Linked DNA regions of Pelodiscus sinensis. The protein of the gene in region 1 interacts with the protein of each later gene in a biochemical or structural test. Links are inferred from orthologs where the notes say so. Each region holds a gene or a part of one and is shown on either strand. Other genes may lie near its edges. The genes, in order: CRYAB and CRYBA1.

What was found.
Region 2: the proteins of CRYAB (region 1) and CRYBA1 form a complex in vitro, tested with the Homo sapiens proteins (2 studies listed by BioGRID and IntAct, with this or other methods). The link is inferred for Pelodiscus sinensis from reciprocal best matches to the Homo sapiens genes CRYAB and CRYBA1.

What each region holds. Positions count from the first base shown.
Region 1 is NC_134736.1:6,795,688-6,811,114, reverse strand, and holds CRYAB (alpha-crystallin B chain), read left to right. Parts: upstream 1-5,977; 5' UTR 5,978-6,171; coding exon 6,172-6,369; intron 6,370-11,853; coding exon 11,854-11,976; intron 11,977-13,332; coding exon 13,333-13,536; 3' UTR 13,537-13,683; downstream 13,684-15,427. Other genes in the region: HSPB2 (heat shock protein beta-2), read right to left, coding at 676-769. UniProt on the Homo sapiens protein: May contribute to the transparency and refractive index of the lens. Has chaperone-like activity, preventing aggregation of various proteins under a wide range of stress conditions.
Region 2 is NC_134731.1:2,054,108-2,069,534, reverse strand, and holds the start of CRYBA1 (beta-crystallin A3), read right to left. Parts: upstream 7,614-15,427; 5' UTR 7,490-7,613; coding exon 7,459-7,489; intron 3,898-7,458; coding exon 3,833-3,897; intron 3,269-3,832; coding exon 3,150-3,268; intron 488-3,149; coding exon 346-487; intron 1-345. UniProt on the Homo sapiens protein: Crystallins are the dominant structural components of the vertebrate eye lens.

The DNA.
Region 1 (15,427 bases):
GGGGCAGATGACCGTTTTGCGGGGCCCCGGGCAGCATAATTCCGCAGGGCCCCCCTTTGCCACGGCGCATGCGCGGGGCTTTCTTAAGCGCGGGGCCTGGGGCGGCCGCCCCGCTCGCCCTGCCGTATATCCGCCCCTGCACATGGGTTTGCTTTTGAGGCCAACCAGAGGCCCTTCCTCCGCCCTGCAGACCAGCTCAAAGGGGAAGATTTTGTTCCTCGGGTGCTGGTGGTGCATGAATAGTGAAAGGGAAGGGAGAGGCAAGGAAAGTGGGAATGAAGCATGGAATGAAGTAGGAGAAAGATCAAGAGCATGATGGCTCCTGGCTCCTAATGAGGCTTCTCCTGATGCCTTCTGCCCCTTCCCGGGCCCTCAGTTTTCTTGATTCCTTGCCCCCCACACACACACTTGTGTGTCCCTGCAGGGTTGTTGGAATAGCTTGTATAGTGGAGGTGCTGAGAGTCAGTGAATCAAATTGTAAATCCTTTATGTAATGGAATCTACTTCAAACCAGAGGGTGCAGCAACGCCCCCAGAACCCCTAGTTCCTTCACCTTGTGTCTGCAGGAAGTGATGTCCCAGGGGATGACTCTGGACAGTCCCCTGCAGTAGGAGTGAGCAAAAGCAGCAGGAATGGGGAAGTGTAGCCAGAGGAGAAGCCCAGACTCTTTCTTACCTTCCCCGAAGTTCTGGTCATAGATCTTGCTGGGGTTGGCGAATTCGTACTCCGTGCTCATAGGGTAGGCATGGGGGAGAGTCCGCTCGGCCATAGTCTGTCGGGGAAGGGACCGTCTGTGTGCTTGCTGCCTCTCAGAGTGAGAGGGCTGCAGATCGTAACGTTTTAATCGGGTGAATTCCGTAGGGAGGTGCGTGACAAAGATACGGACCGAAATAGACACACAGGCCGAGGGACGCTCAGCCAGGAGGATGAGGGAAAGGGCCTCGCTGCATTCCTGCTGGGTACTAGCCACAGTCTGCAGACAGGGAGGGGCTGCAGCTATTGGATGGCTGAGTTTAAGGCTCCAGAAAGCAAAATGTGCTGTCCTGCTGGATTGGAAGCCAGAGGGCTAGGATTCCCTGCTCCCGGGGCCTGGGTGTGCCAGGCAGTGAAGTGGAATGGGAGAGGCTGCAGGACTGGGACTGGGAGGCATAGGCTGAAGGGGGTTCCAGGGAAGGTGAGCGAATGGAAACACTGCCTAGGCAGAGTTACATGAAGTGCAGGGCTGGATTAAGGCGGAGGCTAGCCGGGCAGCTGCCCAGGGCGCTGACCTATAGGGGGCGCCTGATAGCAGCTCTAAGGGGCGCCGCGCAGCCGCGTGGCACCTAATGGCAGTGCTATGGGGCACAGTGCACCGGGGGGGGGGGGGGGGGAACCGCGCATGTGCTGTGCACCCAGGGGTGGAGCCGCGCATGCATCGCGCACCCGCTGCCCGGGGCACAGGAATGGCTCAAGCCAGCCCGGATGAGGTGTTCACTAAGGGGAGGGCACGTACTAGGTGCTGAATGCAGGACTGGGTGCCAGCAGTTCTGAGGCTCTGATCCCATCTCTGAGCAATGATGTGTTCTGTGGCCTCGCCCCTCATTATGAGTCACTCTTCCCATCTGCAAAATGGGGTTAATAACACCAACCTGCCTACCAGGACCTCAGGGGCTTGAGCACCCCCACACCCCCTCCCCCGCGACGATTAATTAGCTCATGCTGGGAAATGCTTTACACAGGGTTGCATTTTTGTCCAGTACCCCACATACCACACACATCTAGACTGGAATCCAAACAGACCGTTGGGTACTTAGGGTGATACATTGTTGCAACGAATGTTCTAGCCTCCACCAGGGCTTGATTAGCCCAGGGGTCCGAACTGTGCTAGGCCCTGGGGCATGTTGTGGGAAGCAGCAAGACCATTCTCCCATTCACCTCTTCAGGAGTCGTTCTCTGTTTCACAAAATCCAAGGGAGCTTGATTTCCAGAGGCGCTTCATCACTCAGCAGGTGTAAAGTTCTGTGTGTATGTGCTAAATAGTGTGGACATTTCTCCCTGCCCCCGCCACGCTGCCCACTCCAAACTGAGCCACTAAATACTAATGAGCTAAAATGATCCCTGGCCTTTCTCCAATGTCAGGGTTCCAGTATCACAGGGATTGATGCAATGGAAATGCCTACGATAGACGGGCCTCAGCTATTTGGGGGCTGAATTTGGCCCAGATCCGTATTTAAAGTCCTGAATGGGTTAGTCCCCATATACGACCCTTGTGGCCTGAAACTGGAGATGCCTTGAAGGCTCCAAGTCTCCGAGGCACAGAGCAGCAGGTGCTCCAACATCACATCTTTCTTGTTTACATGATAAATAATCCAAGGAGACACTTACAACCTGGGCTGTTGCTGCCCCCTTTGCCTGCTGTCCCTCTTGCCAAGAGCCAGCCGCAGGATTGACTGCGGATTGACTGTAGCTACATCCCGGAGCTGGGAGGAAAATGGTTCCTCCTGGACCGAACAGAGGCAAGAGCACGGGATGTGGCCATTGTGTCCACTAGCTCAGAGAGAGCAGAGGTGATTCTGTTGTCATCAATGGAATTTACAACAGCTGCTGTAGGTGAGCGCAGACTTGGAGCCAGTGAAGTTCAAAGACAGGGCTGCCTGCTCCCTGTTATTATCTAGGTGGCCCAGTCATGGGCCAAGACGCCACCACGCTAGGTGCGGTACAGCCACAGAACAAAACCACTGTCCCCGCCCCAAGGAGCGGACAAGCTACCTCTCCATTCCTAAGCAAGGTGTGTTGGAAAACCCCCTCATCACCCAGCCGAGGTGACAGACGGCCACCTGTAACAGACGGACGCCCTTCCCTTGGGGTTGCCGACGGAGAGTCAAGTGTCTGTGTGGAGACGTCTGGTGACCAGCCTATCAGAGCACAAGTCTGCAGACCAGGGGAAGGGCACTGTCAGGAGGAAGTTCCCAGCAGCGCCATTGGGAAGGTGTCAGCCCAGCACATATAGCCAAACCCACTGGAAGAAGGAGAAAAGGAAGGCGCCCGAACAGAAAGGATAGAAACCAGAAATACAACACTGATGTCACACTTGGTGGCAGCTGGCAAGGCGTCGGGCGGCTGCGCCCGTCCCGTCATTGCATGTTCCTCCATTAGCCTTAGTAATCAGACTTACTCAGTGCTCAGTTTAACCCAGTGGCTTATATGAGTCACTTTTTATTTTTAGTAGCTCTATGAATACAAATGGGGCGCAGCTCAGCAGTGGGCAGGGCTGGGTAGCACACCAGCAAACTTGGATGCCAACCTGGCTGAGGTACCAGGAGAAACACATCCAGGGCTTTTGCATATCAGGCTTGAGGGGCGGCAGCTGCAGGTCCACGGGGAGGCATTGGCAGGGCTGGAGTCTCACCCTTCTTGCTCTCTTCCATCTTTTCTTCACTTGTGAATGAAACAGGATCAGAGCACAGCTCTGCACCAGAGAAAGGCTCCTGGGTCAGCCTGTGCCCAGGCAGCATTTCTCCTTTTTCCTTTTGGCCTCATTTGGGTGCTGTCTGCTTTGGAGCAATATGGCACAGAGCTGAACCACAGCTGGGTCTGGCTGTGGGAGTTTCTCTGGGTGTTGCACATTCATTCCCAACATCCATCCCAAGCAGCTGCATGCACACCACCGAGTCACTAAAGTAAAGAAGGAAGAGAGGGAACTGGAGAGCCTTTGGATGTGGCTTTGGTCCTCTCTCCACTGTGCTCTTGGCAGCTGCTGGCTAAAACTCATAAGAATCTATCTCCCAAAGGGGAGCAGGGAGATTGCAGGAGGAGTGTGTCCCGGAGCCTGTCTGTGAAGCTGGGCTATCACCATTACCAGGGCTTGACAAACCGCAGCGAAATCTACTCGCCAGCCCCGCACTGCGCATGCGCCAGACCCGCATTGTGCATGCGCGCGCTGCCGGTGAACGGGGCGACCAGCTGAAATCTACTCACCATGGGCGAGTAGATTCACTGATTTGTCGAGCCCTGACCATTACGAACAATAACATACGAACAATAACAGTGTGTTTCATTCAATAAATGTTACTTAGATTGTCAGCTCTCTGGAGCAGAAATAGATAGATAGATAGATACACAGATAGATAGATGCGTATAGAATCATAGAATCATAGAACACTAGAACTGGAAGAGACATCAAGAGGTCATCAAGTCCAGTCCCCTGCCCACATGACAGGACCAAGCACCATCTAGATCATCCCTGAGAGATATCTAGCCAACCTGCTCTTAAATATCTTCAGAGATGGAGATTCTACAACTTCCCTAGGCAACTTATTTCAGTGTTTAACCACCCTGACAGGTAGAAAGTTTTTCCTAATGTCCAACCTAAACCTCCCTTGCTGCACTTTAAGCCCATTGCTTCTTGTCCTATCCTCAGAGGCTAAGGAGAACAATTTTACTCCCTCCTTCTTGTGACACCCTTTTAGACACCTCTCTCAGTCTTCTCCTTTCCAAGCTAAACAAGCCCAATTCTTTCAGTCTTTCTTCATAGCTCATGTTCTCTAGACCTTTAATCATTCTTCTTGCTCTTGTCTGGACTGTCTCCTAGTTCTCCACATCTTTCTTGAAATGTGGTGCCTAGAACTGGACACCATATTCCAATTGAGGCCTAATCAGCGCAGAGTAGAGCGGAAGAATGACTTCTCGTGTCTTGCTCACAACAGATAGATGCATATATGAGGATAGATAGATAGATAGATAGATAGATAGATAGATAGATAGATAGATAGATAGATAGATAGATAGATAGATCACAGCTTGTATGTCTGCGAGGGTGGTGATGCATTAACAGCATTTTCAGAGCATTCTCAATATAGGTGGTTCCATTTATGTAACAGGTCAGTCTGAACACCTAGACTGTGCTCAGCTCTCACCCACAGGGGACTCGTGGTAGCACTCCGGAGATGTGCTGTCCCCACCTAAATCTTTATTGCTATCCTCCCACGTGCCTCCTCCTTGCCCCTCTGGGTGGCACCAGTTGCCACTGCTCTCATCTTCCTCCAAATCTCCGATCAAAGTGGCTTTAGCACTGAAGAAAAGACGGAAGTGCTGGACTGACACACAGCGGGCTGCGATCCTATGTTCACCCTTCGAACAGGCACAGTTCAGCAGAGGTTGAAGCTTCACACACACATTTTGCCCAGATGTCTGACCCTCTATCCTTTGGGTGCCTTGCCTGTAGGTACCCCCCTGTGTGGTGAGAGAGAGAGAAAGAAGGAAAGAAGCCAGTTAGTAAAACTGCTTAGAGGATGATCAACATTTTAGATTCAGACCTTACTTTTATTCCTGGTTTGCATAATAGAGACAACACTAAAAATTGGAAACCTGCTAACACAAGAGGGAACAGCTCTGTCCTGGTGGTGGGAGAGGCAGGTTGGGACAGACAGACCACCATGAGCTGGGATATGGGGGAGTCAAGACAGACTGATCCACACCATCTGAGAGATAGGGGGGTCAGGAAAGACAGAAACACATGAGGTGGCATGTGGGAAGAGGCAGGAGAGGTCAAAACAGACAGCCGCACCAGCTGGGAGGAAGAGGGCTGAGGAAATACAGACATGCACAAGGCATGTACAGGCAGGACAGACAGACCCACACCAGCTGTGTGGGAGGTTGGGATGGACAGAGCGATCTAACGGCGTTTTTCTGGCGGTGAGTCCTGTGACTAAAGCAGGCCCGCAGCTGCTGTTCCATAAGGCTCGCTCGGCAGAGCCATCTCTAGAGTCGTGTGTAACCTCAGGAACTAGACTCCGAACACGATGAAGACAACGGACCCTTGTCACTTTCTGTGCGAGCCAAAGATAGGAGCTGCTTTGCTCCTCCTGGCATCTGAAGCAGCAACGACATCAGCCAACCCTGATGATAAACAGTGCGTGGGGGTGTGGGGCCGGGCAGCTCTGCTTCTTGCTGACCCACTAGACTTTTTCTCCCCTCCTCCTTAGCAGCGCATTCAAATCCCCTAGATAATTGACTGGCCACTGCTGAATGGAGCAGACTGGAGCTGGGATAATAAAACTCCTGACATCACCCTTCCAGAGAGTTCAGTGGGGGCGAGGCTTGGACGGCAGCGGGTATAAAAAGCCCTGGCACACCAGTCCTTGAAGAACTCTGCTGCACATAAATTCTTACTCTTCTCCCAGATAAACACAGATGGATATCGCCATTCACCACCCCTTCAGCCGCAGACCCTTGTTTTCCTTCTTGACGCCAACACGAATCTTTGACCAGAGCTTCGGAGAGCATCTCTTAGAGTCTGAGCTGTTCCCTACCTCGGGCGCTCTCAACCCCTTCCTGCTGAGATCCCCCTTCCTAAGGACACCCAGCTGGCTAGAGACGGGATTCTCAGAGGTAATGTTTCTCTCTTCCCATACTTTGTTGTCTGCCTGTGCATGCCTCTGGCTGGGACTGGAGTCTTTTTGCCCAGCCTGCCTCCCTGGGGAACCCCTGGGAAGCTGCTCACAGGTTGTGATTAGAAAAAACCTGGGGGAGGGAGCAACAGACGGGGTCATCTTGTGTCCCTGCTCCCTGTACCAGGCTGGATTTGGTCCTACAGGCGCTGCCTGGCATTACATCAGTGTGAAACCCTTTATGTCATAACAATACTTATCATGCTTCAGTTGCATCTGTGAAGCAAGCACCTCAAAATGAATCACTAATATCAATTAATTAAGCATTACAGACCCCGGTAAGGCAGGGGCATGTTCTGGTAGCCATGGGATAGAGAGGCAGAGTGATTTGCCTGAAATTTCACAGCAGCCAGTGGCAGGGCAGAGAACAGACCGCAGAAGCTTTGAATGCCCAATTCACTTTCCTAACTATAACACCCCGCTCCCTCTTGGGGAAAGGAGTTCTGAGTCCCTGCCCCCTGCGGTAACACCTCAGTTATGCTTCCTCTTGCCTGTCCCAGTTTTCACCCAGCACAATTCCTCATTGGAAGCTCCCTTACCTCTGCCTTACTTCTGTGGAGTCACAGAGAATTAGAGACTTACAGATGTTGAGGATCTCCAGGCATCAAATCCTGAGCATCCTCTTGATGCCGGAGTCTCCCTGACCTAATTGCTAAAGAAGATGAGGCTGTCTTGCTTACCCCACTGCCTCATTCTTGGGCCCTGTTTTACTGGTCGTGTTTTAATGCTGGCGAGGAAGATGAAATCTCCATCCCCGCTATAACCATTCCAATGCTGCTCTGTGGAGTGACCAACAGGGGGCGCTAAGGTGTGAGTACTCCTCTCTCCATGGAGCCCAAAGGCAGCACCTGAGTTTCCTCGGCTTTTGGTGTGCAGGTATGGAGCTCACTTCCAAATCTGCATCCCTCTCCCCAAGGGTTTCGTGCCTGACTCGCTGGCTTATGAGTGACATCGTAACGTACAAGAGCGCATGTCATTTTACATGCCTCTTGCAGGTTAGATCTGTGAGCTGGCCGGCATTTGAGAAGCAACTGAATTGTGAGCAATCAGACTAGGAACGACATTGGAAAAGTCATAGAGTCTCCGCTGTCTGCACAAAGGGTTAATTAGTTAAATAGTAGATTATCATACCTATCTGCAAGGAACTGAGCAAACAGGTTTTTGGCAGGCTCTAGTCTTAGAAGGGCAAGCAGACTGGGGTTCTGCTCTGCAAAGTGCCTAAGTTGGCATAATGGGTTGGCTCCGTGTCCTTCCTCTTTTGATATCTATGGAGAAAAACCGCTCGGTGTACCAGGAAAAACGTGTTCGTTGCTACTGTTGGCCCAGCAAAATCTGAGATCTGAGTCACACTGGGCTCACGCTTAATGCTCAGACGCAAAGATTCTGTGCACGAAACTTTGGCTGGTGTCTATAGAGGGCCTTACCGCTGAGACTGTGGTGCTGCAGGAGCCCTGGGTTTGTACAGCACCTAGCACAATAGATCTCTGACTGAGATTGCTCCGTGCTACCACATGAGAAATAAATAGCATCCGAATCTTTGGCTCCCTTTCCCAGGAGCAACAGATGTTATCAGCAGTCTGGTCCAAAAACCTGTTCCTAAGACAATCAGCTCAGATGCCGATGCTTGTGGGGCTGATGGTGCCGCACAACAAGGGCCCAGAGTAAAACTGCATTTTAAGATAGGTGCAGATGGATCCATCCTCTGCCCTCCATCCCTGCCTTGTAAATGATACCCCTGTGCCCGGAGGATCATCTTCTTGTCAGTATCAAGCTTGAGCTAGAAAACAGTCCGCCCATGCTTCCCTGCTCCACTGCATCTCCGCTTCGCTGATTCCTTGCATATTTCTAATGAGCCAGAAATGTGAAGAATGCGTTCATCCAGGAACTGGTGCTGTAGGAAGACCGGGAAAACCTTAGTACAGAACAACTCTCCCTAGCCTCTTGGATGTAGAATAGTGATAGAAATGTAGCCCTGTTAGTCTGGTGTAGCTGAAACAAAATACAGGACTATGTAGCACTTTAAAGACTAACAAGCTGGTTTATTAGATGATGAGCTTTCGTGGGCCAGAGGAAGTTCTTCTAAGGAAGTGGGTCTGGCCCACGAAAGCTCATCATCTAATAAACCATCTTGTTAGTCTTTAAAGTGCTACATAGTCCTGTATTTTGTTTTAGCCTCTTGGGAGATCGCTGTGACTCCAGCACCCCAGAATAGGTCACTGTTGGCCCATTCGGCTCCAGGAACAGTGTCAGCGGGTGGCTGATTGCACATGGCACCACTCAGATGGTAGTAAGTGCAAGTCTGCCCCTATTTGTATTTCGTTCAGGCATCAGATCCCTCTGGGGCAAATACCTTTTGACTTGGCACCTGGTGCTTAGAGCACTAATTAGAGGGAAAGTTCTCAGAGGGATCAAACCAATGGGAGGAACCAGCTTTGCTTTCATTGCAGAGGGTGGCACCATCCCTGCTGTAGCTTGGCTACTTGGAGGGACTCCTAGGAAGTCTCTTGAGGATGAGATCTGGCTAGTTCCAGCAGCACAGTGGGCTTATCTACTGCTGATTTCCCTTCTCCGACCATGTGCTCCCTGCACCTGAGGTCAGATTCATCCAGCACTGACACAACCCAGGGGAGACGGTTCATGCCTTCCTTACTCAAGTGCTGCTGGCCGTCGGTGCAGTTCAAATTGTGCCCTTGCTTCAAAGCCCCATAAGGGGAGATTCAGTATCTCTAGGAGGTTGGGGCTGCTGCAGGGGTGGCACAGAGCTGGCAGTACCAGAGCATAACAGCTTCTTTTGCCAGGGGTAATGTGTAGTAGAGGCAGCTTCTGCCTGCCTTACATTACAACCCCTTTGTGGCAACCTAGCTGATGCAAAGGATCCTCAGAGGCTGATGGGCCTTTAGGCATCTTCCTCTGTGATCTCAGCTCAGAGAAGTGCTTGGGATTCCTCCAGAAGAAGCTAAACACAGAGGAGAATGATGCATGGAAGCTTGGTAGTTAATTTGTAAGAGAAGAGCCAGGAAAATTCTTCCCTCCACGCTGCCTGTTCCCTGACCCTTAATATCCTCTCTGCCCTTTCCCCCCTTCCATCCTCCCTGTGGTTCCCACTGTCATTTGTTAAGCATTAGTTTGCTTAGTCCTCAGACTCGGAACCTTTGTCTGAGTCTCCCTCCTCCCAGGGAATTTCACAAACCAATCACAGCAGAAGCTGGCAGAGCTCCAAGTTCGTATTGCTTGGGGCTTCATAAACACTCGTGGCCATGCAGAAATTCCTGTGAAAATGTCCTTCAGCGCAAGCTCTGAACTGCTGCACGCCAAACAAGTGTCCTTTTGTCCCTCTCGGCCTTGCAGTTGGGAGTGGGAGGCAAAAAACAAAAACAGCTGCTATGATAGCAATGCCCTAGTTGAAGCACAGTGGGGAGTTAGTAAACAACCGGCCTGATTCTTCTCCCAGCCTGGTGTAAATCGGGAACAGGCCTTGGGTGTCTAAAGTTTCCAAGAGCATTAACAGCAGCTTAAATTGTAGAGGAGAAATGCAGGGACTGTGTGACAAGCTAATGACTAACACACCTAGCAGAGTCTTAAAGGAACACCACCCTTTTAATGTCCCATTGCTAGCTGAAGAGTTTGTGCCTATTTTAGAGCTCCTCCAAAGCCCATTGAAAACATAGGTCATCTTCTACTTCATTGACTGTGGATCAGACCCAGAGGGACAAAAAACATCTAGGATTACTCTGAGGGTGCGTTTACACAGCACCCTAAACTCGAAATAAGATACCCAGTTTGCACTATGCAAACTGGGTATCTTATTTCGAACCTATTTCGAAATAGCTTATTTTGATAGTTGATGCATCTACACAGCACCAAATTTCAAAATAATGTGCTATTTCGAGCCATCCCTTATCCCTCATGTAACGAAATTTACCGAGATGGTGAAATAGTGTGCCCGTTATTTCAAAAAATATTTTGAAATAACAGGTGGCTTGTGTAGATAACAGGGTAGCTATTCGGTATCCTGAAGTAGCCGTGCAGTGTACACGTACCCTGAAAGACATAAGGGGCAAATATTTTTTTTCCTCTTCATTTTCTTGATGTGGTGGCTGAGACATAATTGCCGGTTGAACCAACTTCTGTTTGTTGCTCAGCTCCCAGGTGTAGAGAGCTCAGTGTAATTAGGTTCAGCATTCTGGATGGAGGAATCTTATTCAAAAACTAAATTTTAGGAAGGGAAACTCAAACAACTGAGGAAGCAGAGAGATTCTGAGTCCCAAGTGAGGAAACCAAAGTGCTGAGAGTCAGCAAGGAGGCTATTTAAGCATCTCCTAACAGTCTCAGAAGATATGTACATCCTGCAGCAAAAAAAGAAGTAAGTAATCAGAAAGGCAAAAGAGAAAACAGCTTATCTAAATGACAGGGACTAAGAGGTTATTCAAGTCAAACAGGTACACATCAGAAATGGAAAACCTGCCTGGGGCATCCAATAGAATGAGATACTTACTCCACCTGGTAAAGGAAATAAGGCAAAAGATTAGCAGGGTGTGACTCAGTGTTTCATACCAGGAAAAAATACTGTTTAATGTATTTATCTATGATCTAGAAAAGAGCAGGTGAATCCTTCATGGCAAAATTTGCCAATGACACCTTCGTTAGATCAGTCAAGGCTCTGACGATGCAGGAGAAAATGTGAACTGAACTATACGAAAATACACTCTATCACTGACAAGATCCCTGTAAATATCCAGAAAGGGAGCAGAAAGTAATAATAATTCCAAATAATTCCGCAAAAGGAATTACAAACAAACAATATCAACTAATAACAATTGGTCAAATGCAAAGTTGTTGATCAATTCCTAAAAGTCCAAGTCAACAGTGTGCCCCTTTCACACTCCACAAGAAAGTATTTATCCTCTGCTAGTCAAGACAAGACATAGGTGCTCAGATACTACAGTGATGGACAACAATAAAGAAACCTAGGCAGACAAAGACAACCTGGCATGGACTGAAACTAATTAGGCCAGTGGTTCTCAAACTTTTTGGCTTCACACCCCCTTTTTGATTTTTGAGAAGCCTTACACCCCCTCTCCCCGCCGCAAATAGCAGCAAAACTTGTTGGGGGGGGGGGGGGAAGGAACTGACCAGGGCCAAAAAACAAAAATAGCAGCAAAACTTGGGGGGGCTGGATCGCCTCTCGCCCCCCCTCCCCACAGGGGCACGCCCCCCAGTTTGGGAACCCATGAATTAGACAACTCCTGCTGCCTTTAAACAGTCCTTCGGGGCAGGGCATGTTGGACAATGGCCTCCTACTCTAGGGTTTGGTCCTTCATCATTAAAATTGATAGGCACTTTTCTCTTGACCTGCCTGGGTGCCGGGTGGCACCTCCAGCTGGCATTGGAGCTGCTCTTTTCTAACCAGCCCCTTGCTTTGCAGATGCGACTGGAGAAGGACAAGTTTTCCGTAAATGTCGACGTGAAACATTTCTCTCCTGAGGAGCTGAAAGTCAAGGTGTTGGGGGATGTGATCGAGGTCCATGGGAAACACGAGGAGCGCCAGGTATATCCACTCTGGCAAAGTCTGAATTGCCCCGTTTCTGTCACGCAAGGATCCCACAAGATGGCAAAAGTGCCTTGGTGCTTGAGTCTCTGAAATAACTTCTGTTCACTTTAATTAATCATTTACCCTAACGAAGATGCTGAGTGCAGCCCCCTGACCTATCACAGATGGGCAACATCAAGGCAGAGGCTATTGCTAGGGGAAAACAATCATCAAATGAGCATTTCTGAACCTCTCTCTTGTTGGGAAAGGGGCCAAGAGGGCAAGGAGAAGAAAGCACCAGTTTGGAGATTAATTAATGAATATCAAATCAGGTAATAAGGCACAGAATAGTTAATAATTAAACCAAATGATGTTGCTATTCAGAATGTTACTCTGACAAAGCCCTATAACTGTAGCTTGTACACTCAAAGGCAGTGTCTAGACTGGCCAGTTTTTCCAGAAAATCAGCCGCTTTTCCGGAAAAACTTGCCAGTTGTCTACACTGGCTGCTTGAATTTCTGCAAAAGCACTGACTTCCTACTGTAAGAAAGGAAGTCTGCTCCTGTTCAGGCAAAAGTCCCTTTTGCGCAAAAGGGCCAGTGTAGACAGCTCAGATTTGTTTTCCGCAAAAAAGCCCCGATCGCGAAAATGGCGATCGGGGCTTTTTTGCGGAAAAGCGCGTCTAGATTGGCACAGACGCTTTTCCGCAAAAAGTGCTTTTGCGGACAAGCGTCCGTGCCAATCTAGACGCTCTCTTCCGAAAATGCTTTTAACGGAAAACTTTTCCGTTAAAAGCATTTCCGGAAAATCATGCCAGTCTAGACGTAGCCAAAGGGTCAAATTCTGCCCTTGGTGACCTAAGTGCAGTCTCCACTGAGATATGGCCCTTAATAGTTAATACCTATGCAACAGTTGGGAGGAGGGTGAAGTCAAAACTCCCCAGCAGCAACTGAGAGCTGTACTGGAGATCAGATGATTAGGAATCTGTGCATTGTAATATACACAGACCCTGGGGAATGGTACCAGTCACTGCTCTGCCTGGAACGTTTTATGGCACGACAGTAGAACTCGGACTAATAAGGGCAATGTGATTAAATGAGGTTGCGAAGCCCCACCAGGAAATGAAGCTTACAAGGTTCTTAAGCCTGCGTCCAGCTTAAGCCTGGACAGCACCATGCAGTGTCTGAATTCCGCTTAGCCCCGCTGCTTTGCCAAGGTGTCCCGAGATGGGGATGTTCCGAACTTTCTGAAACTTTTTCCTTTGGGGCGGGAGATTCCCAAACTTGACCTCAGCTCCCGGGGGAGGGGATGTTATTAATTGGAATGGAGTTGGCCTACCAAACCTAGGCTGTTATTTTCCTTCCTTCCGATAAGGATGAGCATGGCTTCGTTGCCAGGGAGTTCAATAGGAAGTACAGGATCCCAGCGGATGTGGATCCCCTGTCCATCACCTCATCCCTGTCTTCGGATGGTGTCCTGACAGTGAATGGACCAAGGAAACAAAGTGATGTTCCCGAGCGCACCATTCCCATCACCCGCGAGGAGAAATCTGCCATCGCAGGGGCCCAGAGGAAGTAGGAAGCTGTTTGAAACCGACTTTTCCATCCAGGAAAACCTTTCCATTGGATGCAAGCAGCACACGCTGTACTGACTGGCCATACTTATTTATTTATGCTAAGGAGAGAGAACAAGCTCATTTGCTAACAAATAAAACATAAATAAGCATCCTGTGGTTTTGTCTTTGACTTGGATGTGGCGTCACTGCTAGTATAGAAAAGCTTGGTAAGACTGTGCCTCAGTGGTTCCCAAACTTTTCGGCATCATGCCCCCTTTTTGATATTTTAGAAACCCTCACGCTTCCCCCCCCCCCCCAAATAGCAGCAAAACTTGTGGGGGCGGGGGGGCTCTGACAGATGGGGTAGGTCGCCTCACACTCCCCCTGGAATTTCTTCAGACCCCCCCAAGGGGGCACACGCCCCAGTTTGGGAACCCATGCTCTAGTGTACATGCATGCTATTGTTATTTGTACTGTGGTAATATCTAGAAGCCCATCATGCACTAGACATCCACTGTGCTAGGGGCAATACAAACACAGAACCCAAAAGATGGTGCCTGCCCCAAGCAGCTTACAATCTAAGATATGATTTGTATCCAGTCTGTAGGAAGCAGCACACATATCCTGATTTAGACAGGCCCTCTAGTCTATTGTGATCCCCATAGCCAAGTCAGCTCTAAAATTTCTTCATATACCTCTGTTGCCAAATCCTAAAGATTTTATTTGATGTTTGCGGCACCCTTGACCTGAGTGGCAGATTTGACTCAGTAAGAACTGAAGGATTTGATCCCTGAATAATAAATCCAGAGAGCTGAAAATGGCAAGATGCAGTATTACATGCTCACATATATGAGTAGCACAATGGTGTTGGTAGGGTGACTGGACACAGCTGCATGAAACACAAGCACATCAGTCCCCTGCTCTAGGCTAGGCCCAAGGGATTGCTGTGCTTACTGGGACTTAAGTGAATCTTCCTTTTGCAGAGTCTGGAGACCTGGAACCGAGCAGTAAAGCCTCTCTCAGGACCCCTCAGTAGCTTGTGTATTGGACGCAGGCTTGGGAGGGTAACGATTGAACCTCCCACAATGGCCCCACACTCCCATTCTCTTCCCTCTCTGAGGCACACAGGTAGTGGGGAAGCTGAGAAGAGCTGCCTCTAGAGCACTTTGCAAGCTGCGAGTTTCAGAGAGGACAGGAGTTTACTTTGAACCCCACCGGCACTGCCCGTTTCTGGCAGGGTGAAGATGGATGGATACAAGGCTCAAGGATGGAGCATTGCAGGGCTCAGACTACATTAGGCTTTTATGAAACCAAAGTCTCCCCCAACCTGAGGCACTAAGGAACACATTACATTGCTGGTTTCACTTTATATGCAGGAATATTTTGCCACCACCTTGGTTGCATGATTGATTTTTCCACACTATTTCTGTCTGGAACAGACCTCCCCAAGTCCCAGATTCCTCCTAATTATGTCTTACAAGCATCAGAAAAGTCATTCTGGGGAAATTAATTGAATTGGTTTGAAAACTCCAGGATGGTCTCAACCCACTCTAGTTATGGGCATTAGCTAACACTTAAGGCAGGAAAACTGTATCTGAAACCTCCATAATAGCACGCATTGTGAATAATGTCCAAAGGCAGCAATTAATTCAGAGCAGACACAGGTTACAATGGCAAAGCTGCTGTAAACACAGTTACAGCAACAGCAGAGAGAAATGTCCTGCTCTCATGGTACAAATCACATCACTCTGAAACTATGCAGCCACTGCCCTTCAAACAATAAATAGCAGCTGATGTATAAAATGTTCAGCTGATTGTACAGTGATACAAAATGCTTAGAGTTTTACTCAATTGCCACTAGCAGCTCAACCCTGAGGGATGCTGGCAAAAGGAAAACAGCGGTAGCATTGATCC
Region 2 (15,427 bases), on another chromosome or scaffold:
GCCCCATCCGTGGCAGGGAAGCGCAGGGGCCTGGCCCCATCTGTGGCAGGGAAGCGCAGGGGCCTGGCCCCATCCGTGGCAGGGAAGCCCAGGGGAGTGGCCCCATCCGTGGCAGGGAAGCGCAGGGGCCTGGCCCCATCCGTGGCAGGGAAGCGCAGAGGCCTGGCCGGCTGGCTGGCGCCAGGCAGAGGGTGAAAGTTTCAAGCTAGTTCACCCTAACCAGGGCCAGCCCTCCCCTGCCCGCCCCCTGGCCGAGGCGTGCTGCGCGTAGCAGGAAGGCAGCGGCCCCGGGTGCCTGCACGGGGGGACGCGAGGGGAGGGGAGCAGCGGGGGCCCGGCGCTCACCGCGCAGCAGATGGGGCGGAAGGCCATCAGGCGCTCGGTGTGGTAGGCGTTGCTTCCGCTCCAGGCGTCCCACCGCGGGTATTCGCCCCGCTCCAGGATAAACTGCTGCCCGCAGAAGCTGGTGTGCTCGTAGCCGATCCAGCTGCAACAGCAGCACGCCGCTCAGGGCGCTGGCCGGGGAGCAGCCCGCGCGTGGGGCAATGGGGCCCCGTCTCCCCGTGCGCCGAGACCGGGCCTGGCGCGGCCCCAGCGCCCTGCAGCGTGGCTGGCCCGGATGCCCGAAGGCTGCGCCCAGTGTCAGGCTGGGCCCTGGCCCACGAGCCACTGCCCTATGCGCTGGAGGCGGGGTGGGGCCGAGCTGGCGCTAGGCTGGCAGGGGCCCGGCCCGGCGCGTTACCGGCACAGGCTGCGCTTTGCCGCATGGACACGGGGCCGGCGGCTCCCAGGCTTTGCTCCAGCATCCCGAGGCAGAGCCTGGCTCCCCCGGCCCCAGCCCAGCGAGCAGGGGCCCCAGCAGCCCCCCTGGGGCCCGTCCCATGCTGCCCGTGAGGGGCTGCAGCGCGCCTGGGAGCCAGCCCGGTGGCCAGTGGGGAGGCTGCTTCTCCCCGCGCCGATCTGCAGGAATCGCTGCCCTGGGCGCCGGAGCCTGAGCCTGCACGGGCAGAGCCCCCGCTGCGTCCCTGCGTTCGGCCTGCTGTCTGGCATGGAGCCCGGGGGGGTCACTGGCTGGTGCAAAACCCTGGGGGAGCCTGGGCTGGCATGGAGCCCTGGGGGGTGCTGGCTGGCGCGGAGGCTTGGGGGAGGTGTGGCTGGCTGGTATGGAGCCCGGGGAGGGGGTGCTGGCTGGCGCGGAGGCTTGGGGGAGGTGTGGCTGGCTGGTATGGAGCCCGGGGGGAGGTGCTGGCTGGCGCGGAGGCTTGGGGGGGGTGGCTGGCTGGTATGGAGCCCGGGGGGAGGTGCTGGCTGGCGCGGAGGCTTGGGGGAGGTGTGGCTGGCTGGTATGGAGCCCGGGGAGGGGGTGCTGGCTGGCGCGGAGGCTTGGGGGAGGTGTGGCTGGCTGGTATGGAGCCCAGGGGGGGGTGCTGGCTGGCGCGGAGGCTTGGGGGAGGTGTGGCTGGCTGGTATGGAGCCCTGGGGGGGGTGCTGGCTGGCGCGGAGGCTTGGGGGAGGTGTGGCTGGCTGGTATGGAGCCCGGGGGGGGGTGCTGGCTGGCGCGGAGGCTTGGGGGAGGTGTGGCTGGCTGGTATGGAGCCCGGGGGGAGGTGCTGGCTGGCGCGGAGGCTTGGGGGGGGTGGCTGGCTGGTATGGAGCCCGGGGGGGGGGTGCTGGCTGGCGCGGAGGCTTGGGGGAGGTGTGGCTGGCTGGTATGGAGCCCGGGGGGAGGTGCTGGCTGGCGCGGAGGCTTGGGGGGGGTGGCTGGCTGGTATGGAGCCCGGGGAGGGGGTGCTGGCTGGCGCGGAGGCTTGGGGGAGGTGTGGCTGGCTGGTATGGAGCCCGGGGGGAGGTGCTGGCTGGCGCGGAGGCTTGGGGGGGGTGGCTGGCTGGTATGGAGCCCGGGGGGAGGTGCTGGCTGGCGCGGAGGCTTGGGGGAGGTGTGGCTGGCTGGTATGGAGCCCGGGGAGGGGGTGCTGGCTGGCGCGGAGGCTTGGGGGAGGTGTGGCTGGCTGGTATGGAGCCCAGGGGGGGGTGCTGGCTGGCGCGGAGGCTTGGGGGAGGTGTGGCTGGCTGGTATGGAGCCCTGGGGGGGGTGCTGGCTGGCGCGGAGGCTTGGGGGAGGTGTGGCTGGCTGGTATGGAGCCCGGGGGGGGGTGCTGGCTGGCGCGGAGGCTTGGGGGAGGTGTGGCTGGCTGGTATGGAGCCCGGGGGGAGGTGCTGGCTGGCGCGGAGGCTTGGGGGGGGTGGCTGGCTGGTATGGAGCCCGGGGGGGGGGTGCTGGCTGGCGCGGAGGCTTGGGGGAGGTGTGGCTGGCTGGTATGGAGCCCGGGGGGAGGTGCTGGCTGGCGCGGAGGCTTGGGGGGGGTGGCTGGCTGGTATGGAGCCCGGGGGGGGTGCTGGCTGGCGCGGAGGCTTAGGGGGGGTGGCTGGCTGGTATGGAGCCCGGGGGGGGGTGCTGGCTGGCGCGGAGGCTTAGGGGGGGTGGCTGGCTGGTATGGAGCCCGGGGGGGGGTGCTGGCTGGCGCGGAGGCTTAGGGGGGGTGGCTGGCTGGCGCGGAGGCTTAGGGGGGGTGGCTGGCTGGTATGGAGCCCGGGGGGGGTGCTGGCTGGCGCGGAGGCTTAGGGGGGGTGGCTGGCTGGCGCGGAGGCTTGGGGGGGTCTCTGTCTGCAGCTTTCTAGATTAGCTCAAGAAGCCGGGGAGCGGCTGCAGCTGAGCCGCACTGCCCCACTCTGCTGGCCTGGCGTGGGTGACTGCAGGGTGCCAGCCTGGCTACAGCTCCAGAGCCCTCTCAGGGCAAGAAACGGGCCTGTCCAGGGGGTGACCCGCCCGCGCAGTCCAGGCCTGGCTTGGAGGCCGGGAGCTCTGGCCTAGGTTTGCTCCAGATGCCGGGGGGCGGTGGATCGGCCGTCTGTGCCTGGAGGGCTCCCAGCAAAGAGACAGGCCGAGCGGCGCAGACTCGGCCGCCCGTTCCTCCCTGCCCCTGCCAGCCACCTCCGGAAAGAAGCCAGCCGTGGATCTACGGACCTGTGGGTGCAGCCGCGCTCTGCCCCGGCCCCCGCTCGCCCAGCCGTGCGCTGCATGGGGCATCCCTCCCGTGTTTTAGCCCAGCCCCCCTGTGCGGTCCCAGCAAGGCCCCCCGGGTACTCACGCCCCACAGTCCACCTTGAGGGAGCGGACGGTGTCGAAGCCGCGCTCCATGGTGTTGGAGCAGGCCGAGGTGAACTCCATCTTCTTCCCCTGGAAGTTCTCTTGGTCGTAGGCGGTGAGCTGGGGGGGAATCGCCCCGGAGGGCGGCGCGTGGGAACGGGGCGGGGAACTGGTGCCCACTGCACAGACCGTCCGTGGCAGGGCCTGGTGCAAGCCGCCAGCGTGGACCCACCGCGCCTGGGACTCCGGCCAGGCGCTGGGCTGCCCACCAGGGCGCTGTGGCCCGCAGGTGTGGGGGGTCACCCCGGCCTCGCTTCTTCCTTCCCGCCCCACTGCCCAGCTCTTTCCACCTCCGTCCCCAGGCGCGCACGGCCCTTGGGGCAGCCCCCGCAGCCCTGCGCTGCCCTCCGCCCGCGGGCGCTGCAGCCGGGCCGGCAGGAACCCGCAGTGCGTGCCCGCTGCTCACCTGGGCGTGGCGCTCCTGCCCCCGGCTGCTTGTACCGCAGGGCAGGGCAGACACAGGGGGCAGTCAGCACTGCGCCGGGGGCAGGAGGGCGGGTGGGGCACCAAGGGCCAGGCCCCTCCCTGTGGGTCACGTCTAACTGGGGGGCAGGAGACGTGCAGTGCCCAGCGCCCGCTCCCTGTGTAGTACCCAACCCAGCACACGGCGCGGCTGGGACCTACCTTCCAGGGGCCCGTGGGGCCGGGCAGAGGGTTGGTCTGAGTCATCCTGGCTGTGGGGACGGTGCCTGGAAAAGGAGGAGGGGAAAGTACAACTCGCAGCCCAGGGGCGCTGGCTGCTCTGAGAGCTGTTCTGCCCACGCGTGCTGCTGGCCCAACCCGTCACTGAGCCCCCCCCATTCGCTGCTGGCCCAACCCGTCACGGAGCCCCCCCCCATTCGCTGCTGGCCCAACCCGTCACGGAGCCCCCCTACCCCATTCGCTGCTGGCCCCACCCATCACGGAGCCCCCCCCCATTCGCTGCTGGCCCAACCCGTCACGGAGCCCCCCCCATTCGCTGCTGGCCCAACCCGTCATGGAGCCCCCCTACCCCATTCGCTGCTGGCCCCGCCCATCACGGAGCCCCCCCCATTCGCTGCTGGCCCCGCCCATCACGGAGCCCCCCCCATTCGCTGCTGGCCCCGCCCATCACGGAGCCCCCCCCCATTCGCTGCTGGCCCCACCCTTCATGGAGCCCCCCTACCCCATTCGCTGCTGGCCCAACCCGTCACAGAGCCCCCCCTACCCCATTCGCTGCTGGCCCCGCCCATCACAGACCCCCCCCCCCATTTGCTGCTGGCCCCACCCATCACGGAGCCCCCCCATTCGCTGCTGGCCCCATCCGTCACTGACCCCATTTGCTGCTGACTCCCCCCATTTTCTGTTGGCCCCACACACTCCCCACAGAGGCAGCGCAGGGCAGGGCCGGGCCACAGCTGAGCATGTTGGGCGGGAATCCCAGTGAAATACCCGGGCCTGGCTTGGAATACTGGGAAGATGAGCACGCCCAGACACCTCCCCGGCGGGGCTGGGTACAGTGCAGGTGCGCTCACACCCACACACACAGTGCATAGGTGCACACTCACACACACAGAGCACAGAGGTGCACGCTCACCTCCCCACACATACACAGTACAGAGGTGTGCGCTCGCACACACAGCACAGATGTGCACACTCAGACACAAACAGAGCACAGAGGTGCACACTCACATAGACACATACACAGCACAGAGGTGCGCACTCACACACACACGTGCAGACAGAGGTGTGCACTCACACACAGACACACACGAAGCGCAGAAGTGCGCACGCACACAGACACAGTGCAGAGGTGCGCACACACACACACACACACACACAGAGCGCAGAGTTGTGCACTCACACACAGACACACACGAAGCGCAGAAGTGCGCACGCACATAGACACAGTGCAGAGGTGCGCGCACACACACACACACACACACAGTGCAGAGTTGAGCACACACACAGACACATAAACAGCGCAGAGGCATGCACTCACACACATGCAGACAGAAGTGCGCACTCACACTCACATGCGGACGGAGGCGTGCACTCACACACACAGACACAGAGGACAGAGGTGCGCACTCACACACAGCACAGAAGTGCACACTCACAGCCCCAGCCCCACCCAGTGCGCACTCACACCCCAGCCCCACCCAGTGCGCACTCACACCCCAGCCCCACCCAGTGCTCACTCACACCCCAGCCCCACCCAGTGCACACTCACACCCCCAGCCCCACCCAGTGCGCACTCACAGCCCAGCCCCACCCAGTGCGCACTCACACCCCAGCCCCACCCAGTGCTCACTCACACCCCCAGCCCCACCCAGTGCGCACTCACAGCCCAGCCCCACCCAGTGCGCACTCACACCCCAGCCCCACCCAGTGCGCACTCACAGCCCAGCCCCACCCAGTGCTCACTCACACCCCCAGCCCCACCCAGTGCGCACTCACACCCCAGCCCCACCCAGTGCACACTCACACCCCAGCCCCACCCAGTGCGCACTCACACCCCAGCCCCACCCAGTGCGCACTCACACCCCCAGCCCCACCCAGTGCGCACTCACACCCCCAGCCCCACCCAGTGCTCACTCACACCCCAGCCGGGCTGGCAGCGGGCACAGGAGTGCGAGCGAGAGCAGCCAGCCCTGTTCCGAGCAGGGCGCTGGAGGAGGGAGCTGCCCTCCGGCCGTGTGCTGCTGAGCTCCTGCCCCCATTTGCTTTAAGGCAGGACCCGCCGGCCTGGGCTACGTCAGCCTGGCCCGGCCTTGGGGGCCCGCCGCCGGCTCTTTGCTCCTTCCTGCCCCTCGCGCTGCCCCTGGCCTGCGAGCCCCCTTGCCCCACCCGTGAGGACGGGCGTCGGGGCAGGGGAGACCCCGCTGTACGTGCTGACTCTTTGCAGGCTCTCGGGGGCCCGGGAGGGGCTGGCCTGGCCTCCGGCCCCCTCTAGCCTGAGTGAGTCTGAGGAGAAAGCCACGTCCAGCCAGAGGCACTGCCGCTGAACGCCCTTCCCTACGGGCAGCATTCGGGGCTTGTGGGGGTGAGCTCAGTCCCGGCCCCCGGCCCCCGGCCCGCCCCCTGCAGGTTACGTCCCCTGCCGGGCACGGCGACAAGGGATCAGCACCCCAAGGGGACTAGGGGTTATCCCCCTGGGTAGCAGCGCCATCAGGGACAACACTCACCTCCCCCTCCCCCCAATGAGCGGCAGGGCCCAGCTGCACTCCCCACGGCCTTCTCGCACAGTCCAGATTTCGTTGGGAGCTTCTGTCTGCTCCCCCCCAAACACCCTGTCCTGGCTGGAGTGGAGCCCCCCCCCGTGCAGAAACGGAAACACGTTCTCTCACTATTTGCCTGCTGAGCCTGAAGGAGAAAAGCCTATCGTTTGTGTGTGTGTACGAGCAGGTGTGTGAGCAGGAAGGTGTATTCTGTGTCTGGGTGGGTGAGTGCGTGTGTTCCACGTCTGAGTGGATGTATTCCGTGTCTGGGGGGCTGTGAGTGGGTGACTCTGTGTGCATGAGCAGGTATATGTTGTGGCTCTGTGTGTGCGTGTGAGTGGGTGTATTCCGTGGCAGGGCGTGTCAATGTGAGCATGTATCTTCCATGGCTGTTTGTTTATGTGCGACTGGGTATATTCTGTGGCGAGGTGTGTGTGAGCGGGTGTATTCCGTGGCTGGGGGCATGTGTGTGAGCGGGTGTATTCCGTGGCTGGGGGCATATGTGTGAGCGGGTGTATTCCGTGGCTGGGTGGGTGAAGATCTGTGAGGTAGGGCACATGTTTTCCTAGGTGTTTGCACGGCACCAAGTGCAAGAGGCCCAGTCCAGCGGGGGCGCGGGAGGGTTACCACACCACAGACAACACCACAAGCCGGAGCTCGCCGGCAGGCAGTGCGGCCCAGGTGTAACAGGACATCACCTGCCGACGGTGCCGTGTTCTGCTGCAGCCGCCAGAATTCCCTGCTCTGTCCACACACCGGCCGGAGACCTGGCAGCTTCGCCCGCTGCAGACTGGCGAAGGGAGGAACCGTTTCTGAGGTGATGGGAGGGGGCGCGGGAGGAGGCCGATCCCAGGGCAGGGGCACCACCCTGCCACCTCCTGAATCGCCTGTGCGGTGTCTGGGTCGCGGGTTCAAAGGCCCGTTGGGGAATGGGCCTGTGCCAAGGGCTAACCCTGGGGACTTTTATTGCAGCCCCTGGCGCTCGGCCGGAGGGAGGCCGCGTCTGTCTGGCTGAGAAGAGGGAACGGACAAAGCGACGGGAAAAGTCGAGAATCCAGCCCCCGCACTCACCTAGCTCGGCCTGCGCTGCTGCTTCCTCCATGTAACGCCCGACTGCTCCGGAGCCTCCCTTTATATAGGGCCCGGCTGGCAGAGCAGTCAGCACTCTGCTTTCTCTGGCCCTGGTTCCTGCTGAGCCCCGGAGATTCCAGCAGCTCAGCGCCCTAGTCTGAGCCACCAACAAAAAACACCCCCCCCCCCCCCGCCCCGCGTGTGGCTGTTTGCACGGCTAATCTGGGTCATGGATGACTCAACAGCTTGGGGCTCTGGTTCTTTCCAGCCCAACAGCATCCCTCTGTCATGAGACAAGCAGGGGGCTCTGCCCCCCCCCAGCAGGGACACCCCCTGGGGGCTCTGTCCCCCCCATCAGGGATACCCCCCCGGGGGCTCTGCCCCCCTCCTAGCAGGGACACCCCCCAGGGGGCTCTGCCCCTCCCTCCAGCAGGGACAACCCCGGGGGCTCTGTCCCCCCCCAGCAGGGACACCCCCCGGGGGCTCAGAAAGCCTCTGGGCATTTCCTTTCCCATTCCGGAGGAGCCTCGCGAACGGGACACAGGCCTTCCCAAGGGGGTGCTGGGGGTATGGCAGCCGGCCTGCTGCAGAGGGCCCGTTACCCCACATGCATGGAAAGGGTGGAGCAGCTCGCGGGTGTGGGCTGGGTGACCCCGAGGGAGGACCCCTCTCCATCTATATTAATACTCACACAGCCCCCATTGCTGCTCTGTGAGAACCTCACCCTCTTCAGTGGACTTACCCCTCCGACTACCCCTGCGAGTTACCCCCATGGACCAGATGGGGAGCTGAAGCCCACGGGGGCTAAGTGACGGGCCCAAGGCCACTCAGTCACCAGAAGCAGAGCCAGGAACCGAAACCTGGTCTCCCAAGCACCCTGCCTCCTGGGCTGTCCTTCCTGTCTAGGCGCCCCCGCGTGGAGCGCTGCCTGGGGTTTGATTTCGGAGGGAATTAGCCGGGGCTCCCCGGTGGTTAGCTGTCTGACAGCAGCTTGGGCAGGGCTCGGAAATGGGGAGCTGCTGGACCGCGACGGAGATAATGGAGTTCCCCGCTGCAGGCGTGTAGCAGTGGGGGCAGGCCTGGCGCGGTGCGGACATCCGGCCCTGCTCTCCATGGCCCTCGGCTGCAAACGGGGGGCTCTGCAGGCTGGGTTGGGACCAGAGCGGCTCCCTGGAGCCCTGCACGCACCGGCCATGCTGCCCGGGGAGGGGTTGCGTCAGCGCGGAGGAAAGGGTCACGCCAGCTCTGCTCAGCTTGACCATCAGCGTGGGGGGAGGGCGCCCAGAATGACCTTGTAGTGGGCCAGCTTCCGGGGCGGAAGGGGCAGCTTCCCAGCTGGGCCGAGCTCTGCATCTCCTCTGGGGAGGAGCGCCTGAGCCACATACCCGCCGGGCCCAGGCTCAGCGTGGCCGGGAGGGGGCCTGCTGGTTTGCAGACCAGCTCGGGGGGGGCTGGCTGCTCCCTGAGGCGGGGACCTTGCGCTGTGGGGGGAGCCCAGGCACAGCTGTTAAAGACGCCCCTGCCAGCCCTCAGAGCCCTGCAGAGGAACGGCTAGAGGTTCTGCCGGCCCCTGGCGCCGGCCTCGCCTGGTGGCCTCCCACTGCACGGCGGGAGCCGCCATCCGGCCTGCCCGTGGTAACCATAGTAACTGCATCCTTCTCTCTCCCATCCCTGCCCCGGCCGTATCCCAAGTGGCCTGGTGCCCGCAGGTTTGGGCCCAGGATGCCCCCTGACCGAGCCCGGCCGGCTCCTTCCTTCCCAGGCCGGCCTGGTTGGGCTCCTGGCGGCCCTGCCCCGTGGCAGGCCAAGCCTGTGTGTGCTGGGGGCCTCCGCCCTCAGCAGCCGAGCGAGGTCAGGCGCGGGTTGCTGGCTCAGCGCTTCGCTCCCCGCCGCACAATGGGCCGCTGTGACGTCTGACTGCCCCTTTTGTCTGGCCCTGAGGGGGCGAACAAAGCGCCCTGTCAGCTCCACCTGGGCCTGCCTATTGTCCTCGCCGGGCTTCCTGCCCTGGGTCGAGGCAGGCCGGGCTGGGCTCTCCGCAGTGTCCCCTGCAGACCCCAAGGGGCAAACCCAGCAGGGACGGTCCCGGGGAGAGGGGAGCCTACAGCTGGGTGGTAAACGAGGAAACCTCCCCCGGAGGGTCTGCCCCCGGCCCCTAAATGTCCTTGCTGGGTGTCTGCCCTTCAATGCTCCCATCTCCTCAGCACCCCCCCGGGGGCGCCCATCCGGCTTCCCTGGCAGCGTCTCCCCTGCTGCAGCGGAGCCCCTAGAGCGCCGGGTGCTGCCGACCCACAGCGAAGGGCAGGAATGACCCTTAGGACGCAGCCTGTTGGGGTCGGCAGGGAGGCCCCCCAAGTCCAGCCAGCACTGAGGCCACAGGGGAGGGTGTGGGAGGGGCAGGGCACAGCCGCTGGCAGTCGCTCTGGGGAGGAAGGTGCCAAGCTCCGTGCGATTGTCCCGCGCCAGGCTGGGGAGCGCCCCAGCACGGGGAGAAGCGACGGAGCCGGCTGGAAGGAGCCAGGGAGGGCTGTTGTTCCTGGTGACACAGGACTAGGCTGTGAGGGGCACTTGGGCCACAGGCCCACGCAGGGGACTAGGCCCCCGTTGAGCCCATGGCTGGGCTGCGCAGGGCGCTGTGGCACGTGGCCCCCTTTCCTGCTTACCCAGAGCAGAGAGGTGGGGGGAGCCGGGGCCCCCAGAACACCAGCCGGCCCAGTGGTGTGGCACGATGGGGGCTTAGTCCCAGGGGAGCCGGGCGGCTCCTGTATGTCCCGGCTCAGGGCTCTGCCTGGCTGCACAAGGAGCCCCAGAAAGGCCTTTGCAAAGGGCATTTTTCCAGGGGGGCAGGAGCCAGCCTGCCTTTCCGCGCTGGCGCTCCCCAAGAACCCACGCCCGTCTCCCCGCACGCCGGACAGACGCTCCCGCGGCGTGGTGAGGCCCAAGGGACCGTGACGCTCCTCCACCGGCCAAAGAGCCTTGCCCAGGGACCCCTGCCACCTCCCCCAGTGGGGCTGCCGCGCTGCCTTCCGCATGCCCTCCGTCTGGGTGGGAGGGGCCACGGGGCAGAGCACCCCCCAGTCTCGGGGAGACGTCCCCTAGCTAATTCCCCTGCTGCTTAGAAAGCAGGGCCTCAGCTCCAGTGGGTTCCAGTCCGAGTTTCTGCTTCGAGCCACTGGATCGTGGGTTGCTTTTTGCTGCCTCTGGTCTGAAATCTCTTCCCCAGGCAGGTCTGGACGGAGCGCGACCGGCCTCCTTCCTCGCCTTCCTTGGCCGCGTGGCTTGGACCTCCTCGGCCCTGCTCGGAAGCAGGTGCCCGGAGCCAGAGCGCTCCGCGGTTTGCCGGTGCCGTGTGGTGGGGACACTTGCCCCTTGCTGCGCCGAGGTTGTCTCCGCGACGATTGGGAGCCGGAACCCCGCGGGCCGGCAGATTTGTGCGGGCTCCGAGCCCATCTCCTCGGGTGGCAGGACGGAGCCTGGGCCCTGAAGTCTGCGCAGGCTGGACTCTGCCCCCACCCATGCTCCCGGAGAGCAGCCCCTCACTCTGCCAGCCCAGGGGAGTGGAGCCCCCTCATGGTGAGTAGCAAGGGCAGGCGCTGTCCCCCTCCGGCGCCCACCCCACCGCCAGCAGGGCTCCCCCTGCGAGCAGCCCCAGGACCTGGCTAACCACGCTGTGGCTCCAGGCCTGTCCATGGCAGACGGCTGCCCTGAGATGCAGCCGGGTACATGAATGCCACCTGGGCCCGTATCCCGTGGCTCCGTGGCGCTGGGGGAAAGCAACGGCGAAGGAGGGGGGAGACCGGGGCCTTCCTGGAGCTGCCGTACAGTGTCAGGCCACTGGAGGGAGAGCTAATCCCAGGAAGCGAGCTGGGCCAGCCCGTGGCGGGCGCCCTCTGGCCTTTCTGGCTGCAGACCGTTGTCGCGCCAGAAGCCAGCCAGCCCTGAGAAGTGGGGGGCGAGGAGAAGGAACCCCCTGCTCATCCCATGGGGCAGGGCTGGGAGGGGATGCTGGTCGCTCAGCTGGGAGCAGGGGGGTTCGCTGCAGTGCGGTGGGTGGCAGAGACCCTTCGGCAGAGCCCCAGGGCTGGGGTGAAATGAAAACGAAACGCTCGCTGCAAAGCGGATCTTGGGCTCCGACGGCGGCTGGAGCCCGCGGACTTGGTAGCCGACGTCAGAGGCCGTTAATGGGGAGCAGACGCGGAGTGTCTCCCTCCGGTCCTGGTGTCTCCTCGTGTCCCCCCCAGGGATGCGAGAGTGCAGTCGATTAACCGCACGCAAAGCGCACAGGTTAATGCTCTACACGACATTTCTCCCCCACCCCAAGGACATCTTTTAGCAGGCCGGTCGGCAACCTGGCTCAGTCCTGGCTTGCGACGGGGCTGGGACCTACCTCTGCTGCGGCTCAGTTCTGGCTCATGCCTGGTCCAGGAGCTCAGACACCACCCCTGGACAGGGGCTGCTGCCGCCCTGCACTGCTGCCTCTGTATCAGAGGGGACAGCGCCAGGTGCCAGGCAGCTGGTCTGCGGGGGAGGCGGGGGGGAGCTGGTTTTGAAACCAGCGTGGAGTGGCCGGGGGCTCCTCGGAAGTGAGGCTGGAGCGCACTGGCTGCCGGCCCCATCCCCAGGGACTATAGAATAGTCGACTAACCGATAAGAATTCGTGAGGTTACTCGACTATTCAGTTAACCGATATGTGACATCCCGAGTGCCCCACCCATCCATCGCCGGACGTCCGGCTCTTTTCGCTTGGGGAAGGGGCTGGTGCTCTGTTTGTCCTGCACCTAGAGCAAGGCGGGCTGAGCCACGAGGGGGGCTGTGACAGACCGGGCCGTGTCTGGGCACAGTTGAGGGCGTCCGCTCAGGGCGAATTGCTCAAATCCGGGGCTCCTTACAGCCCCCAGACTGGTGACCTTTCCAAACCGGCCACACACCAGTCCCACAGAGCGCTCCAGCAGCCTGCCTGAAGCCTCACGAGCAAAACCCCTCCGACACCCCAGCAATATCCGTGCCCCAGATGGCCCCGGGCCTCATACACAGGTGGGGGGCCCTAACACCCAATCCCACCTACCCCGAACAAGTTCTGTCTGGTTCCAAGAAACCAGCCACAGATCCCTGGTCAATTTACCCTCTGGACCTTACCCACAAATCACACTGGGCCAATCCTTTAGCATCTAACATCTAAAGGTTTATTACCACAAGAAAGAAAAGCCTGAGAGTGAGGTTGTTAAAGGATAGTACGTTACATGCACCGAATCTCCCAGTCCTCGATGCAGGCTCTAGCAGAGATGTTGCAGCTGCTGGTTTAAAAGTTCTTGTTGCACATCCTACGATCAGGATGGGTTCACAGGTCTTCCGGGCTCTTCGATCCCTGCACTGCTGCCTCTGGGATGAAGTGCTGAGCTGAGAACAAAATGGCATCGACCACATGGCCTCTTTATACCTCCTTCCTGGCCTCTTCTGGTCTCAGCCGGTCACCTGGTCCTCAGCCTCTCTCTGCTGGCCGCTCTTAGGTGTCCGCCCTCATGCTTTAGGTGTGTCCTTGGCCCATCGAGTGCCATTGTCCCACAGGGCCTCGCTGATTAGCATGTCCACAGGCCGGGCTCTGCCCAATGCTCAACCACATGCAGAGAAGAATTCAGTATCCACACAGACTACAGATTCCTAACTACACACACAGACGTTATACAACCACATAAATATCTTACATAGGATTATCAGATAATAAGCTTCTATTCAGCACCCCACATGGCCCCCTTTTATACCATTTTCTGGGGCCAACACCCCCACCTATGGGTGCAGCAGTGATCTGGCTGCTCCCCTCAAGATCCAGTAACGTGACAGGGGCTCCAGCCCCAGGTAGATCGTAACGAACAGCGCTGGCCTGGAACGGACGGGACGGGGGAAGAAATCCCACTAGGGGTGCAGGCGGGCGGGTGGGACTGGGCGCTGGGCCTGCGGGGCTGGGCTCCACGCCGCTCTGGGCCACGTCACCAGAACCTTTCGGCAGGACCCAGGCAGGAATCGGCTTCCCCGGTCTCAGAGCCCGTCCCCAGCGTAACCGCCTCCACAGAGACCAACGCAGCTGCGCCTAGGCCGGCCCTGGGATCTCCCCCTGCCTCTGATGCCAGCTCCACCTCAGGCCACTACTGCAGGCGGCACGTGCCCAGGCCCCACCACGGAACCGTCGGGGCAGTATCTAGGGGTCCAGGCTGCCCATGGCATGTGAGTTCCGCGCCCAGCCCGCCAGGCGGGCCCCTAGCCAGCACTCCCCAGCAGCGGCTGGTCCCTCTGCTGCCAGCTGTCCTGCTTGCCCTGGCCGCTTGCTTTGAGTTCCCCTGGGGTCGTGCTGGAAGGGGGGGTCCGTGCGGCTTGGAAGAACGGGGAGGGCGTCCCACTCCCCCACAGCGTCTGCCGCCTCGGAGAGGGGCGGGCGGGGCCGTTTCTGCCTCGGGGTAGAGCGCTGTCGGCGAGGGCTCCCCACAGGCCGGCTGGAACTCTGCTAGCACACGAGTCCGGGGGACGTTCTCCACAAAACCCTGCTCCCTTCCCCCCGGGCGGCAGCCGGATGCGATTCCCTGGCCGGAGAGGAGCCAGCCCTTGCAAAGGCAGGGCCCCCAGGGCCGGATGGACTGCCTTTGGCTGGGCTGAGGTGAACACCTCACCCAGGGCGGGGGTTGGCCTACGCAGTGCTCCCCTCAGGGTCGTGCTGTCCGATCCAGCTGGAGCGCAGGGCCACTGGCTTTTCTGGGTCCTGGGGGTCCCCCAAAAGAGACTCCCGTTAGCTCCATGGAATGAATCCACCTCTCCTAGGCTCTATCGGTTTTCACTCTCCCGGCCACCACAGTAGCTACATTAGGGCTGTAAAATCCTGTGTAATTGGCTCACCGGTTACACTTCTAGTGTCATGTTTAACTGGGTAACCAATTAAGGGGGGCCAGTCCAGCCCAGCTGGGCAGGAGCAGCCCCTGTCTGGAGCAGGTGGGGGGCAGTTCCAGCCCCCATTGATTAACGGGGACCGGTAAGCCTTTCCCCTCCCTAATCTCAATACGACCTGGCAGCACCCTGAGCATCTGACGCGTGGCTTGCTCTCCCGTGGGGGAGGACTGTGAGCAGGGTGAATTGGTGTGTTTGTAGGGCTGCCAGATGGTTTAACCAAAAATATCGACCCTCCCCCCGAAAAAAACCCCATCAGGGAAAAAATTCTGTTGAGAAAAAAAAAGGGGGAGACCAAAGTTATTAAGCAAAAAAAAAAAAAAAAAAAAGTGTGTCCCCTTTAAGAAATGCTTTTGGGGTTTTTTCGTCTCCTGGCTGGGACAAAATCAGAAAATATTGGACATTTTAGGTGTCCGGTATTTTCCAAATGTTTTTACCAGACAGGAGGCGAAATACCGGACTGTCTGTCACGTTACTGAATTTGAGGGAAGCAGCCATAAGTGGGGGTGTTAGCCCCAAAAATGGTTTAAAAGGGGCCATGTGGGGTGTTGAATAGAAGCTCACTGTCTGCTGATCCTGTGTACACTAGTCATGTGATTGTAGAATGTCTGTGTGTGGAGTTAGGAGTCTGTAATCTGTGTGGAGACTGAATATTTCCCTGCATGTGGTTGAATATTGGGCAGAGCCTGGCCTGTGGACATGCTAATCAGCGAGGCCCTGTGGGACTATGGCTCTCAATGGGCCAAGGACACACCTAAAGAATGAGGGCTGACACATAAGGGCTACCAGCAGGGAACACAGGGATAGGCCGTGGGCCAGGTGACCTGCTGTAGCCAAGAAGAGGCCAGGAAGGAGGGATAAATAGGCCATGTGGTGGTCTCCATCTTGGTCCTCAGCTCAGCACTTCATCCCAGAGGCAGCAGTGCAGGGATCAAAGAGCCGGAAAGAACTGTGGACCCATCCTGGTTCTAGGATGCGCAACAAGGACTTTTAAGCCAGCAGCTGTAACATCTCTGCTAGAGCCTGCATCGAGGACTGG